3 linked regions of the Mus musculus genome follow. The protein of the gene in region 3 interacts with the protein of the main gene of each other region in a biochemical or structural test. Links are inferred from orthologs where the notes say so. Each region holds a gene or a part of one and is shown on either strand. Other genes may lie near its edges.

What was found.
Region 1: the proteins of Prkaca (region 3) and Ube3a form a complex in vitro, tested with the Homo sapiens proteins (2 studies listed by BioGRID, with this or other methods). The link is inferred for Mus musculus from reciprocal best matches to the Homo sapiens genes PRKACA and UBE3A.
Region 2: the proteins of Prkaca (region 3) and Creb1 form a complex in vitro, tested with the Homo sapiens proteins (2 studies listed by BioGRID, with this or other methods). The link is inferred for Mus musculus from reciprocal best matches to the Homo sapiens genes PRKACA and CREB1.

The regions. Positions count from the first base shown.
Region 1 is NC_000073.6:59,227,275-59,231,642, reverse strand, and holds the start of Ube3a (ubiquitin-protein ligase E3A), read right to left. Parts: upstream 2,894-4,368; 5' UTR 2,372-2,893; intron 1,954-2,371; exon of another isoform or gene 1,843-1,953; intron 1-1,842. UniProt on the Homo sapiens protein: E3 ubiquitin-protein ligase which accepts ubiquitin from an E2 ubiquitin-conjugating enzyme in the form of a thioester and transfers it to its substrates.
Region 2 is NC_000067.6:64,574,182-64,577,827, forward strand, and holds part of Creb1 (cyclic AMP-responsive element-binding protein 1), read left to right. Parts: coding exon 1-74; intron 75-842; exon of another isoform or gene 843-1,038; coding exon of another isoform or gene 1,039-1,078; intron 1,079-1,997; coding exon 1,998-2,148; intron 2,149-3,646.
Region 3 is NC_000074.6:83,971,545-83,975,796, reverse strand, and holds the start of Prkaca (cAMP-dependent protein kinase catalytic subunit alpha), read right to left. Parts: upstream 2,820-4,252; 5' UTR 2,611-2,819; coding exon 2,565-2,610; intron 1-2,564.

The sequences.
Region 1 (4,368 bases), on a different chromosome or scaffold from region 3:
TTTTATCAGTAAGAAAAAGTAACTGTCAAAACCAAAACTCTATTATCCTAAGCCTTTCTGAAGAGAACATCAAAAGACTTAGAGGACTATTTTTATATTTTTATATTGTTTTTCCGTATTTGAAAGTACTTAAAAGACCACCTCTTAAAACTCATCTCCAGTTGCAAAAATCAGAACACTGATGTTTTTAATAGCTGCATATAAATATAATATAAATCCATTAACAGTAATATTATCAATAATAACAAACAAACCTAATTAGAATAAATGATAATATACCAGTAACCATTCATTTAAGGTGTTGGTTTTTTTAAAGGACATTTGAAAAGATCATCTTAAGCTCTTGAACAGAAAAAAAAATAGCTATGGCCAATTAAAAAGAAAATGTTCATAAAAATTGAGAGAAACAATTATTACTGCAATTATTTGAGGGAAGACACAAATGTTTAAGAAATACAACTGAATAAAATTTACATGTCAGAGACATTATAGATACCTAATGAATGCAATGTTAAAAAAAAAAAAAAAAAAACGAATCAAATAGAATGAGTTTTGTCTCAGGTAGAAATCACATTTTTCTAATTTAAAACCATAAAAAGGGTAAATAGCCGGTCCTGGTGGTATACATTTTTAATCGCAGAACCCTGGAGACAAAGCCAAGAGGAGAGTTAGACGTCATCCAGCGATATACCATAAGACCCTTTCTCAAAAAAAAAAAAAAAAAAGGGTGATGGTGGCTATTTCAGGGATAAAAAAGCCACCTACAAAACCTGCATACAAAAGGAATTTTCTAAACTCAAAGTTAAGCTCCTCAGTTATATGAAGAGCAACATCCAAAGAAGTATGTGTATACCACTTCACAACACACCATGCAAGGTAAATATTGACACAAATTATTTCACAACCTACATTCTGATTTTGAAAACAAAACTACAAGTCATCTCATCTTTATTATGTGCTGTATCTTTCTTAAACGATAGACTGCGAATTGTTGAAGTTCTCATTTTTATTACAGATTCTGATACATGGCTTTTTTGTAAAGCTAAGTATTTATGGATTTACAGTCATCCTTACTTAGGCTTATCAGCAATACAGATGCAGTATCCACTTCCTTAAAAGTGCAGTAAGCAGTCTATTTAAGAGGAGAATTTAATACTAAAGCAATTTCTGTCATACATAACAAGACAAAATTTTCCTTTTATCTCTCCTCAATTCTAAATTTACATAATTTACCAAAAAGATATCTTAAGAGTATTAACTAATCTGAGGTGTGTCAAAAACATTCGTCGTGTCTCTTGTCCAATAGGGCTTTGATATTTAGCTTTTTAACAGCTGTATTTCTTAAAGTTCAGGCCATCTTTATTTCAAACGCACTTCCCTATCCAAAACATTTTAACATAATCTGCTGCTTCTCCCAAAACCATGGGTTATACGAATATCCTTCACGAAGTAAGATAATGGTGGATAACACATCCCATATACTATTTAGTTAACATTTCCAACAGTACACTAGCTATTTAACGCAATCCCAAAGAGATTTTATACTGTTCTATTTTAGCATGCTCAAAAGACATAAAAAAAATTGACGTAAAATTGTCTTTAGAGGATTCTTCTAAAGCTGATAAAGTCTTATTAAAATTATACTTTCTATTTTTAAGGCTAACGCAATTATAGCACATTCAACTCTGATTCTTCCAACAAAAAGCCTCCGCATCAAAATGGGGAAAACGTCCTTTTCATTTTCTCAACTGAAAAGGGGGAGGGGAGAAGAGGAGGAGGCCAACTGCTTACAGGTTTGCATTGAAAATTAACACAGCAGTTTCTGAGGAATCAGTAACTCACGTTCAACTACTGAATCCTACCAGAAGCAGCACACGAATAAAACCAGAGCGCAATCCTTGGGCTTGAGGTGCCGCTTCATCCGTCTTCCTTCCAATCCACCCCCAATACCCCAACCCACTAAGCACACATCTAAATATGTCTTCCCCACCAGAGCGCCCCTTTGGAGGAAAAGGCCTGCCTTTCGCAGCCTGAAGCCACGGCTGGCTCTCCGATCTCTGCTTAGATGAGGCCCCCGATCTCGACGCCCTGCACGTCCGCCCCACCCCGGGCCCACTCGGGTACCCGTGGGTGACAAAACCCTCCCTCCTGCGTCCAGCCAGCACTGACAGTTAAGGCTGCAGCAGCCGCAGCCACCAGGGCCTAGTCCTGGCACCGGCCCCTCCAGACCACGCGCCCCAAGCACTCGCTCACGGAGGCGGGTGAGGGCCCGGCGCCTACCCTGTCAGCGCGGGCCGGAGGGTGACGAGGGGACCGGCGGTACAGACCAGAGGGAGCGCGCCGGGCAGGCCGCAGCCGCAGCAGCACTGACCTGTCCTCGCCCCCGCGCGTGGGCTGCGGCCCTCGCAGCTGCGGCCGCCTCACTGGTCCTTGTCGCCCTCGTCCACCGCCGCCGCCCGCCACCGCCTCGTTCCCTTTCGCTGGCGCCACCGCCGGGTCTCATGCGGGACCCGCGCTTCTCCTCAGGAAACCGAGGCCGAGAGGCCAGGCGCCTGGGCAACCTTGAAGTCGGCGCTGAAGCGCTGCTGTCGCGATCTGTCCACAGTGGGGGGCGAGGGCGGCGAGCAACTCCGAAGAGAAGCAGAAGGAGGCGCCACCGTCAGCGACAGGTCGACGGAAGAGAAGCGTAACGAGGCGGTGAACAGCTGCGTGGCCCGGTGCGCGAGCGAGAGAGCGAGCGCAGGAGGGGCGACGAGGTGCTGGCAAAGACGAAAGGCCCTGTCGTCTCCTGGAGTCACCCAAAGAGGAGCGCCACCATCTTGGGAGAAATACGGATCTCGCGAACGCAGCACTGGACGAGAGGACTAGGTGGGCGGACCGAGTATCCCGACAGGCAGCGCGCGCCAACCCTGCCGGGCGAGGGCTCGGAGTCCGGAGGCGGGATGCGAGGCGGGGTTGCGCGTGCGTGGGATGGCGACGGGCTCTGCCCCGCCCCGATCGCAGCTCTGTGGGGCCCTCCTCTAGCTCGCCTTCGCCTGCGGCGCAGGGGCCTTTGGGAAGGGGAGATGGCCTTGGGCTGGGTGGAAGCTGGCCAGCATCGTCGCCATCTTGAGACTGGGCTGAGAGAGGCTTGGTGTTTTTAGCCTCTGCTCCTTTTACTCAATCTATAGACCAGTGTGCTTCGGTGTACTCGCGAGAGCGGACAGGTCTACCCAGCCTAGCAAAGCCCAGGAGTCAGAGGGACGAATAGGCCAAGAGGGTGTAGCCTACTGGCGGCACGAGGAGGCATAGAAGCGTTTTGTTGCTAGAGCTGACCCTTACGACTTTTCATCCGAACTGTCCGAGTAAAGGATTCAGGCGTTGAGATTGGGCAACCTTTCAGCAAACAAGGCCATCAGCCTCTGCCAGAACATGATATGTCACTGGCTTACCAGACTAGTAGGTAAAAGCCCAGCCCCTCCTGTGTTGTCTTCCAGTAGATGTCAACTGAGAAGAAACCGCCTTGCTTGATCACACGTGGATAGAGACTAATTTTGATTTACAGAACACCCGAACCCTGTTAGAGCCATGTGACTTGTTGGTACCGGAGTGAGGGTTTAACTTAGGTTTGTTGTTAATGATTTTGACACTAAATTATTATAAAGACTAGCTGACATGTTATTTCCTGGCTTGCAACTTAGTAAGCCTTAATCATCTAGTGCTCAAAATGTAACAATCACATGTATTAATGTGCTTTTCTGTTTATTACAGCTCCTATAATGTGTGTGTATGTGTGTGTATATATATATACACATCATATATATATGAAAGATCTCCCCACTATAAAAAATATTTTTATTATTGGTTTTTCAAGACAGATTTCTCTGTGAAGCCCTGGCTGTCCTGGAACCCACTCTGTAGACCAGGCTGGCTTTGAATTCAGAGATTCGCTTTCTGAATGCTGGGATTAAAGGCTTGCAATTTTTTAAAATTAAAAAATAATAGGCGTGTGTGTGTGTAAACTATTACAGGATAAATAATAAGTGCAACTGTTATATCAGATTTTAAGATACTTTAAATTTTTTCTATTCTTTTTTTTTCTCCATCCATTAAAGATCCTCATTTGGAATACCATTGTATTATATGAAAGGGGCCAGTAATAAATGTAACCCTTTAAAGAGTTATCTTTGCAAACTATTTAAATACAAAACCAAAACTGAAAATCATTAGACTGCTAAGAAAAGTAAAGTACATAAACTGTTGCAGCATGTGAAGACGCTTTCAGCTATTCACTCCTAAATAAAAGTCTGAAAATGAAAGGTCATGGTCTAGTCATGTGAATTATCAAAATGTAGCCAGCAGCCCAGACTTCTAAAAAGCTTAAAAGTT
Region 2 (3,646 bases), on a different chromosome or scaffold from region 3:
TACCATTCTACAGTATGCACAGACCACTGATGGACAGCAGATTCTAGTGCCCAGCAACCAAGTTGTTGTTCAAGGTAATAGAATTAAGAATTCATACATATGGTACATTCTTTTAAAAATTAATGTGTATACTCATGAAAAGTAAGTATATTACAAAGCACTACTAAAATAGTTTTCTTCAGTATAGATTTAGATATTAACAGTTTAGATATGCATGTATTTAATACATAAATATCTCTCATGCAACTTTCCACTCAGATGAAAATGTCATGGCATAAAAACAACTATCTTTTAGCTTAAAAGGGGTTTTTCCTGTCTTTAATGCCTTCAGTAGTCAGGATTGGAAGAACCAAAATATGTTAGAAGAGAACTGAGGAAGTTATAGCCAGGCTGAATGGCCTCAAGTAACACTAGCTCCCCTGGGCCCCTTTCTTTCCCTCCTCTGTGTGCTATGTCACTATTAAAGAGTTCTAGTGGATTCTGCTGTTTTATCTGTTTTGTCTTGTTTTTATTATTTTTAATTTAAAAGGAATATAGAGCTTTTCTGAAGTCATCAATTTGGATTTTGGATAAGAACAAGCATCATTATGCAGATCCTTGCTCATTGGAGAACAAGTTGTCCTTTAGCCTCGGTGGACGAGAGGATTTTGTTTTGTTTTGTTTTGTTTTGTTTCCCAAAATTTCAAGAGTCTGGAGAGTGTTAACTATTCAGCATTAATTCACTGAGCAGTTCATAGTTCAATATTACCAGATTAAAAATTTATAGATTAAAAAAATAATATTTGCTTCTAAAAATATTTTATTAATAATAACTAATGTTGCCTGTGTTAATGAGAGTTATATCCCTTCACCATGGATAATTACTTTTGGATCATACCACAACACCAAGTAGAACATCTTTTGTTTAACAATGTCTAATAAATTTATACTATATATCTTGTTATTAGACCAATGATATTTAAAAAATATTTTGCTTATTAGTGGGAGTAAAACACCTTTTCACTTTACATGCAGGTACTCAAAAAATTGTAAAGCAGGATGTCAGTGAATTTGAATTCTCAACGTCAGTTTGAATATGGTAACATGTTTAGTATATAAATCTTTGTCCCTCAAACGATACAATCGGTGTTTTTAACTGATATGAATGATTTTATAAAGACATTCAAAATCTCTCACATAGTATTAGGGTACTTATGAAAGCATATCATGACACTGTTTCTAGAAGCAAATAATGGACAAATAGTGATTTTTTTTTTCACATATGGAGATTGTATGGTGAGGAAAACCCAAACTACACGCCTTTAATTCCAGCACTTGGGAGGCAGAGGCAGAGGCAGGTGGATCTCTTGAATTCTAAGCCAGCCTGGTCTACATAATGAGTTCTAGACAGCCAGGGCTACATAGTAAGTCCCTGTCTTAGAAAACTGAAATGAAAACAATTCAGCTTTTACTTACTTAGTTTTAGTCACTTATATTAAGATATGTTTACATATACCATGATTGGCAGCAAATGTCCAGTTTTTCATACTTGGAGTTTTGTTTGAATTAGAAATTTATAACAGTTTCTATATGCTTATTTTTTTTCTTCTATTTTGCTATTTTATGAAAAATCATGGTCGTTTTTATGTCGTGGCAAGAGTCTACTTGAGTTTTTTGGGTTTTGTTTTAAATGTGAATTTATGTAAAGCAAGGGAAGATACTGAGGCCTGTGTGGGAGGACATCTCTGCTCAGCTCCTTTAGACTTAAAGCTGACAAGCATGCAAACCACAGACTGCATCTCCCTCCCAGCACAACATGAATAAGACCCGCAGGGACGCTGAGGCACCCTGCCCCGTACCTGTACTAATAAATAGGACAGACAATTGGAGTCTTCTTCTTAGATAGAGTCCCATTCCCTGTTTCCCTTTTAATCTAAGTATGTTTAGATTGATTGAGACACAGTTGAATTAAATTGTAGTGTTTCTGTGTCTTATACCTTGTTCGCTCTTCTCTGCAGCTGCCTCAGGCGATGTACAAACATACCAGATCCGCACAGCACCCACGAGCACCATTGCCCCTGGAGTTGTTATGGCGTCCTCCCCAGCACTTCCTACACAGCCTGCTGAAGAAGCAGCACGGAAGAGAGAGGTCCGTCTAATGAAGAACAGGTACAGATTCCAAACACTTAAATGCTATGGGTCAAGTATGTCTATAAACTCTTCTGTGTGTGCCTTTACATCTGCTAACAGTAGGTTCTGTGCATTGATTTTCTTTTTCTGGTAGAATTAGTGGATCTTGCTAAAGCTTCTTTGTTTATTAAGTTGCATTTATAAGATGGCTAATGGAACTTTAGGTCAGTCTTCAATCAAAAAAGTAATTTTTCTTCATAGTTTTTCCACAAGAGAAATACATAGCTTTAATGAATTTGTACTTTATTCTAGCTAATAGGATATGTTAATTAAAAAAATTTGTAAGTAATATTCATCAAAGTGTCACATATGTATACTAACATTAGACTCTAGTTTATTTGCATTAAATTTATTTATAACAAGTATACAGTAGCCATTTTTGTTTTAATGAATACTTTCTTTTGCATTTTTATACACTTACAGATTTATTTATGCATGTTTTATGCATATGTGTCAATGCCTACATGTATGTATATGTACCACATTCATACCACAAAGGGCAGAAGAATGCATTAGATCTCTTGGAACTAGAGTGAGAGGGGTTGGTCAGCCACCTGCCTTGTTCTTTGTTTGGGGTCAGAGTCTTGCTGTGTGGGCCAAAGTTGCCTGGAGCTCTTATCCTCCCGCCTCTGGGAGTGAGTGCTGGAATCACAACCTTGGGCCTGGCCTTAGGGGCAGGGGCTTTCTTTACTCAGTAATAACTTAACATCCAAACACTTTTAAAACAGAGAAATTCTAAAAAGTATGGTATTCCCGACAAAGCCTTAATGCACAGTTAATGTTAGTCTTAAGAAGTTAAAGTGGTACAGAAGAGAAGCTATAAAACACAGGTAAAGCCTTTCTTAGAAATTTATTTGCTTTCAAATGTTTTTGCCATCTTAAAAAAAAGGAAGTTATTAATGTGGAAATGATCAAAACAAAACAAAACAAATGGTCTGAGGAGGCCATCGTTGGTTAATGTGTTCACCATCCAAGCAAGAACACTGGAGTTCAGATCCCCAGAACCCATATAAAATTCTTGGTAGGGCCCTGTAATTCCTCTGATGGCACAGGTGGGGTTTTCAGGGTAAGCTTGTCTGTAAGCTCTGGGTTGAAGAAACCATGACTCAAGAGTAAGCGAAAAAGCAACATTAGGGAAGATAGCCTGCACACACATAAAACATGTGAGTAAACATCAAGGGGCTATAATGGGGGAGGGAGGTGAAAACTAAAAGAGAATCAAGGTGTATAGAGATGTAAACTATTTAAATTCTTCTTTTTACCCCAAGAGTGTAAGAACTATGATAAAGTAAATGAGACAGAAATTGAACTTAGCAGATCTAACTTCAATTCCTGCATTCACCCTTTAGCTATGACTCTGGAAGAATACATTAATTTCCTAAACTTGGGTTTCTACCTTTGAGTAAAATAAGATCTCTCCTTGCACCCAAAGCTTGGCTCTCAGGGTCAGGTAAGACAGCACATGGCATCTCTACTG
Region 3 (4,252 bases):
TTTAAAGGCTGTCTCTTTTGTGGCCCAGGTCTGCCTCAAACTCAGGTCCTTCTGCGTCACAGGCCCTTCCTTCCTTGCTAGGTTTGAGGCACTGTCCCTCTTTTTTTTTTTTTTTCTTTAAATGTTTCTATATATTTACTGTGTGTGTACACACACTCTCGTGGAGGTCAGAGGACAACTCTGAGGAGTCAGCTCTCTCCCTCCATCACGTAGGTCCCAGGAAGACAATTCAGACTAACAAGCTTCATAGCAAACATCTTTACCTAAGGGCCATCCTGTAGACTTTTGTATTTTGATACAAGGTTTTGCTGTTACCCAAGCTAGCCTTTAATTTTTGGGCTTAAGCAATCCTTTTGCCTCAGCCTCTTGGGTTGCTGGTAGTGTCAATATACACTATTATGGGGTTTGTTTTATCATTTTAAGAAAATATGACTGGGGTTTAACTCCTGCTGATGTGTTGAAGGCTGGACATGGTGGTGAAAGCCGTTAATTCTAGCATTTGGGAAGCTGAGGCAGGCAGATCTCTGAGAGTTTGAGGCCAGCCTGGTCTAAATTTCAAGTTTCAGGCCAAGAGGAGCTATATAGTGAGATCCTGTCTTTAAAAATCAAAGCAAACCAAAGAATGTCTGAGTTGAGATATGACGGGGTCTAGGAGATGGGCTGGTCAGCAGATCTGGATGTGAACTCTGCCTGTGTGTTGTCATCTGTGTCAAACTCAGATGGCTCATCTGGACAGACATTATCAAAGTAAGTATGTCTATGGAGACCGTTTAACCAAGCCCTCCTGGATGCACGGAGTTCATCCGTCCAACTGACTCTCAAACTCTGATCTTTTCCTTGGGCTCTCCCCTCCTCTGTGGCTCTGTGCCTGTTGTGTGTGTCTGATATGCTTAAAGCTTTCCTAGCACTGTGCTCAGCTTTCAGAGGGGCCACTGCAGTATTCAGTCCACTGCACGTACCATCTACCTCCTGGTGGGCCTCACCTGCCAAGGGGGCTGGCCCTTCTCCTTCTGCCCGGAGCCCTCCAAGCTCAAGCCCAAGACCTTTTTGGGCACTACCCACCTGCTCCTCTGTCATCAAGCCCTCAACTACAAGCACTTGCCTCTGTCCCCCGCCCATCTGTGAAATGCCAGGCCTCTTAAGGCTGCTAGGCTGGGCTGAGCTCTGCTGGTTGAAGGGGGGGGGGAGGGGCAGAAAGTTCTTGGGCTTCTTGAGTGGCATTCGGGGGACTCAGACACTGAGAAGGGCACAGCTGATCAGAGCCTCCTTTTTGGGTAACTGGAAGCTGTTCTCAGCTGCAGTACAGCTTTAGCTTGGAGTGACACCACTTTGAGACATGAAGCACTGGGGGACAGGGCCCAAGGCCCTTTCTGAAGTAATTTCAAATATAGAATCACTTTTTTTTCCCTGGCTAGAAAAATTCAGCATGGTTTTTTTTTTGGGGGGGGGGTGTGTGTATGTGTGTGTGGATATACCTCCCTCTGGGTGAGCCCTCGGTATGCACAGAATCCATCTGTCTTAAGCAAACCAAATCATTAGCTGTCACCTATTGCTGGATGGCGTTACCCCAATGCGCGCAATTCTTCTGACCATCCCCATTCAGTGGAATGAGCCTTTGCTATTCATTTCATCCGCAGTTTCAAACCAGCCCCAGGGGCTGGGTGAACGACAGAACCGCAGTTGTGAAACGACCATTTATTGAGGGGCCTTCTAAGGAACCCAGACCTCAGGGTAGGCCAGGAGGGTGCTCTGCCGCTTTACCTCACCCGCAACCCAAGAAAAAGGACAGACGTAATGGCTCTGAGCAAGACCAGCTCCAACTTGGATAAGGAAGCGCAGAAGCAGCTCTCTAGGTTCATAAACAGTCTGCCACCCCAGCCAGGGCCAGACGAATGCACGGAGGAGGTGGAGTGACAGGATGAGAGGGGCAGAGGGACCCAGAAAGATCTTGTCCCCCATGCCAAGTGACACAGAAGGGAAAAACAATGCAGGAGGTGGCCCCGGGAAATGCTCATGGGGGTGGGGGTGGCTTGGAGGTGGGAGCTGTGATGAGGTGAATCGGGCAGGGGTAGGAGAAAGATGGCGGGGGCTGGAGGGGGAGGGGTGTGGTCACCAAGTGGCCAAGGTCCCTGCAGCGTGGACCCCACAGCACTCCCGAAACTGGCAGGAGCCTGGATCAGGGTCAGGCATTGGGGCGCTGTGTGGGAAAGGTAAGTGACGAAGTGGGAGGGGGTATAGAATCTGGAGAAAGGGACTAGGAGAAGAGGGGTTGGTGTGGTGACAGGGCCTCATCTGGGGCCCCGGCGGTCATACATGCAATGGTTGGCAGTGACAGCTGGGTGGGGGGGCACGGCCTTTGCAGTGGGGGATGGTAGGCCATGGGCACCAGGCCCTACTGGGGGCAAAGTATCTCTGCGGTGATCCGACCCCAACGTGAACAGGCAGCAGGCAGGGGTGCAGGCAGACAAGATTGGGGGGGCATATGGGGGAGGGGCCATGCAGTGATGGGCATTGCGCGGGCAGGCCGCACGCAGTGAAGATCAGGGTGACGGCCGGGCACTCACCGCTCTCCTGCTCGCTGCCCTTCTTGGCGGCGGCGGCGTTGCCCATCGCGGCGGCGTCGCGGCCGGGGCCAGTCCCGGAGCTGCGACGCGGCGGGTGCTAAGGTGGCCGGCGGCCCCGGAGCGCGCTGGGCAGCGGAGGCGGCGGCCCCTGGGGCTGGCTGCGCTGGCTGCGGCGCCACGACCCCCGCCCAGCCCCTGCTTCCCGCGTCTCTCTGCGCCCGCCCGCGGGGGAGCCTCAGCCCAAGTCCTCTGTCCGTGACGCCCCCGCAGCCCACCGCCCATTGGTTCAGGCCTCCCTGACTGACAGCCCTACGCCGCTGTCCATTGGCCCTCCGGAACCCTCCCGCGCCACCATAGGCTCCTGGATGAGTGACGCGAGTTGCAGACTCTCCGCCACTCACGGGCTCGTGAGGCCGCAGTCGGGCGGGCGAACGCACGTGATTGGCCGAGAAGCCCGAGAGGGCTTGGGGCTGCCCCTGCGAAGCCGTCGATTGGCGGAGACAGGCGGCCCCGGCTAGTGTCAGTCCCGGGGTGAGAGGGCGGGGCAGCGGCTCAGGCTGCGGCCCGGGCAGCGGGCGGGGCGGAGGCTGCGGCGGCTGGAGGGTGGCTGGGTGGCAGGCGCTGCGAGGTGCGGGAGGCGGCCCGGCGGACGCCCGTGCGGCAATGTGCGCGCTGCAGTCTCCCGCCCCTGCCCAGTGCGGCAGCGGCCACGGGCCAGAGGTTGACGCCACGGCGGGCCGGCGCAGCGGCTGTCCACCTGCCAGGGGGGGAGGGGCGGGCTGGCGCCGAGGGTCAAGGGTCGCCGGGCGCCGTTCGGTGTCATTCATAAGGAGGCCCGACACTGGGCAGCCGTGACCCAACTAGCTCGGGGTCCGCTTTGGTTTGCTCGCGACACAACTGGAGCTGCAAGGGGATGTTGGACCCAGAACTGAGGGCGTGCTGGGAGGAGACTCAGAGTATCTACACTCTTTGCTAAGGCTCAACCCTAGGCCCCTGAAAAGTAGTAACTACGGACGCCAGCCAAGTGCATTACTTCTTGTACCTTGCACGTTGGGCCTGCCATACTCCCATTTTATGGAGGCTCGGTCAGGCTAGTTCCTTGCTCTTAACTAATCTCCATTGCCTAGACATGACCAACATAACCTGCCCCTTTTGGGCAGGAAGAGAGCCGTTCTCCTTCCTTCTGGATGCTCATCTTTAAATTTTGTTTTTATGCAATGCTGGGGATTGAACACGATGCATACTCCCTGCGAAGTAAGCATTGTACCACTGAACTAGAACCTCACTCGGTGTTCTTTCAAGTCTGCACTGTCAGAACGTGGTCAGTTTCCCACCTTGCCACTGACACCAGGGGCCTGAGCACTCTGCTGGAGGGTCTCCTGCACACTAGGTTGATATCAGAACCCCACCCTCACACTCTGGATGCTGGTACTCTTCCATCTGTCTGCTGCCTGGGACAACACAAACATCTCCAGATACTGCTAAATGTACTCTTGGAAACAAATTATCCCTACCCTCACCAGAGCTCTGTAATAGAGGGTGGCCAGGGTGGACGGTGCTGGGTGGACGGTGCTGAGTGGACGATGAGCTACCTCTCCTGGACTCCAAAGGGTAGTTGACTCTGAGGTACATATACCTATAGACTCACTGCTCAACAATGCACAACCAGCTTCTAAGCCAATAACTAT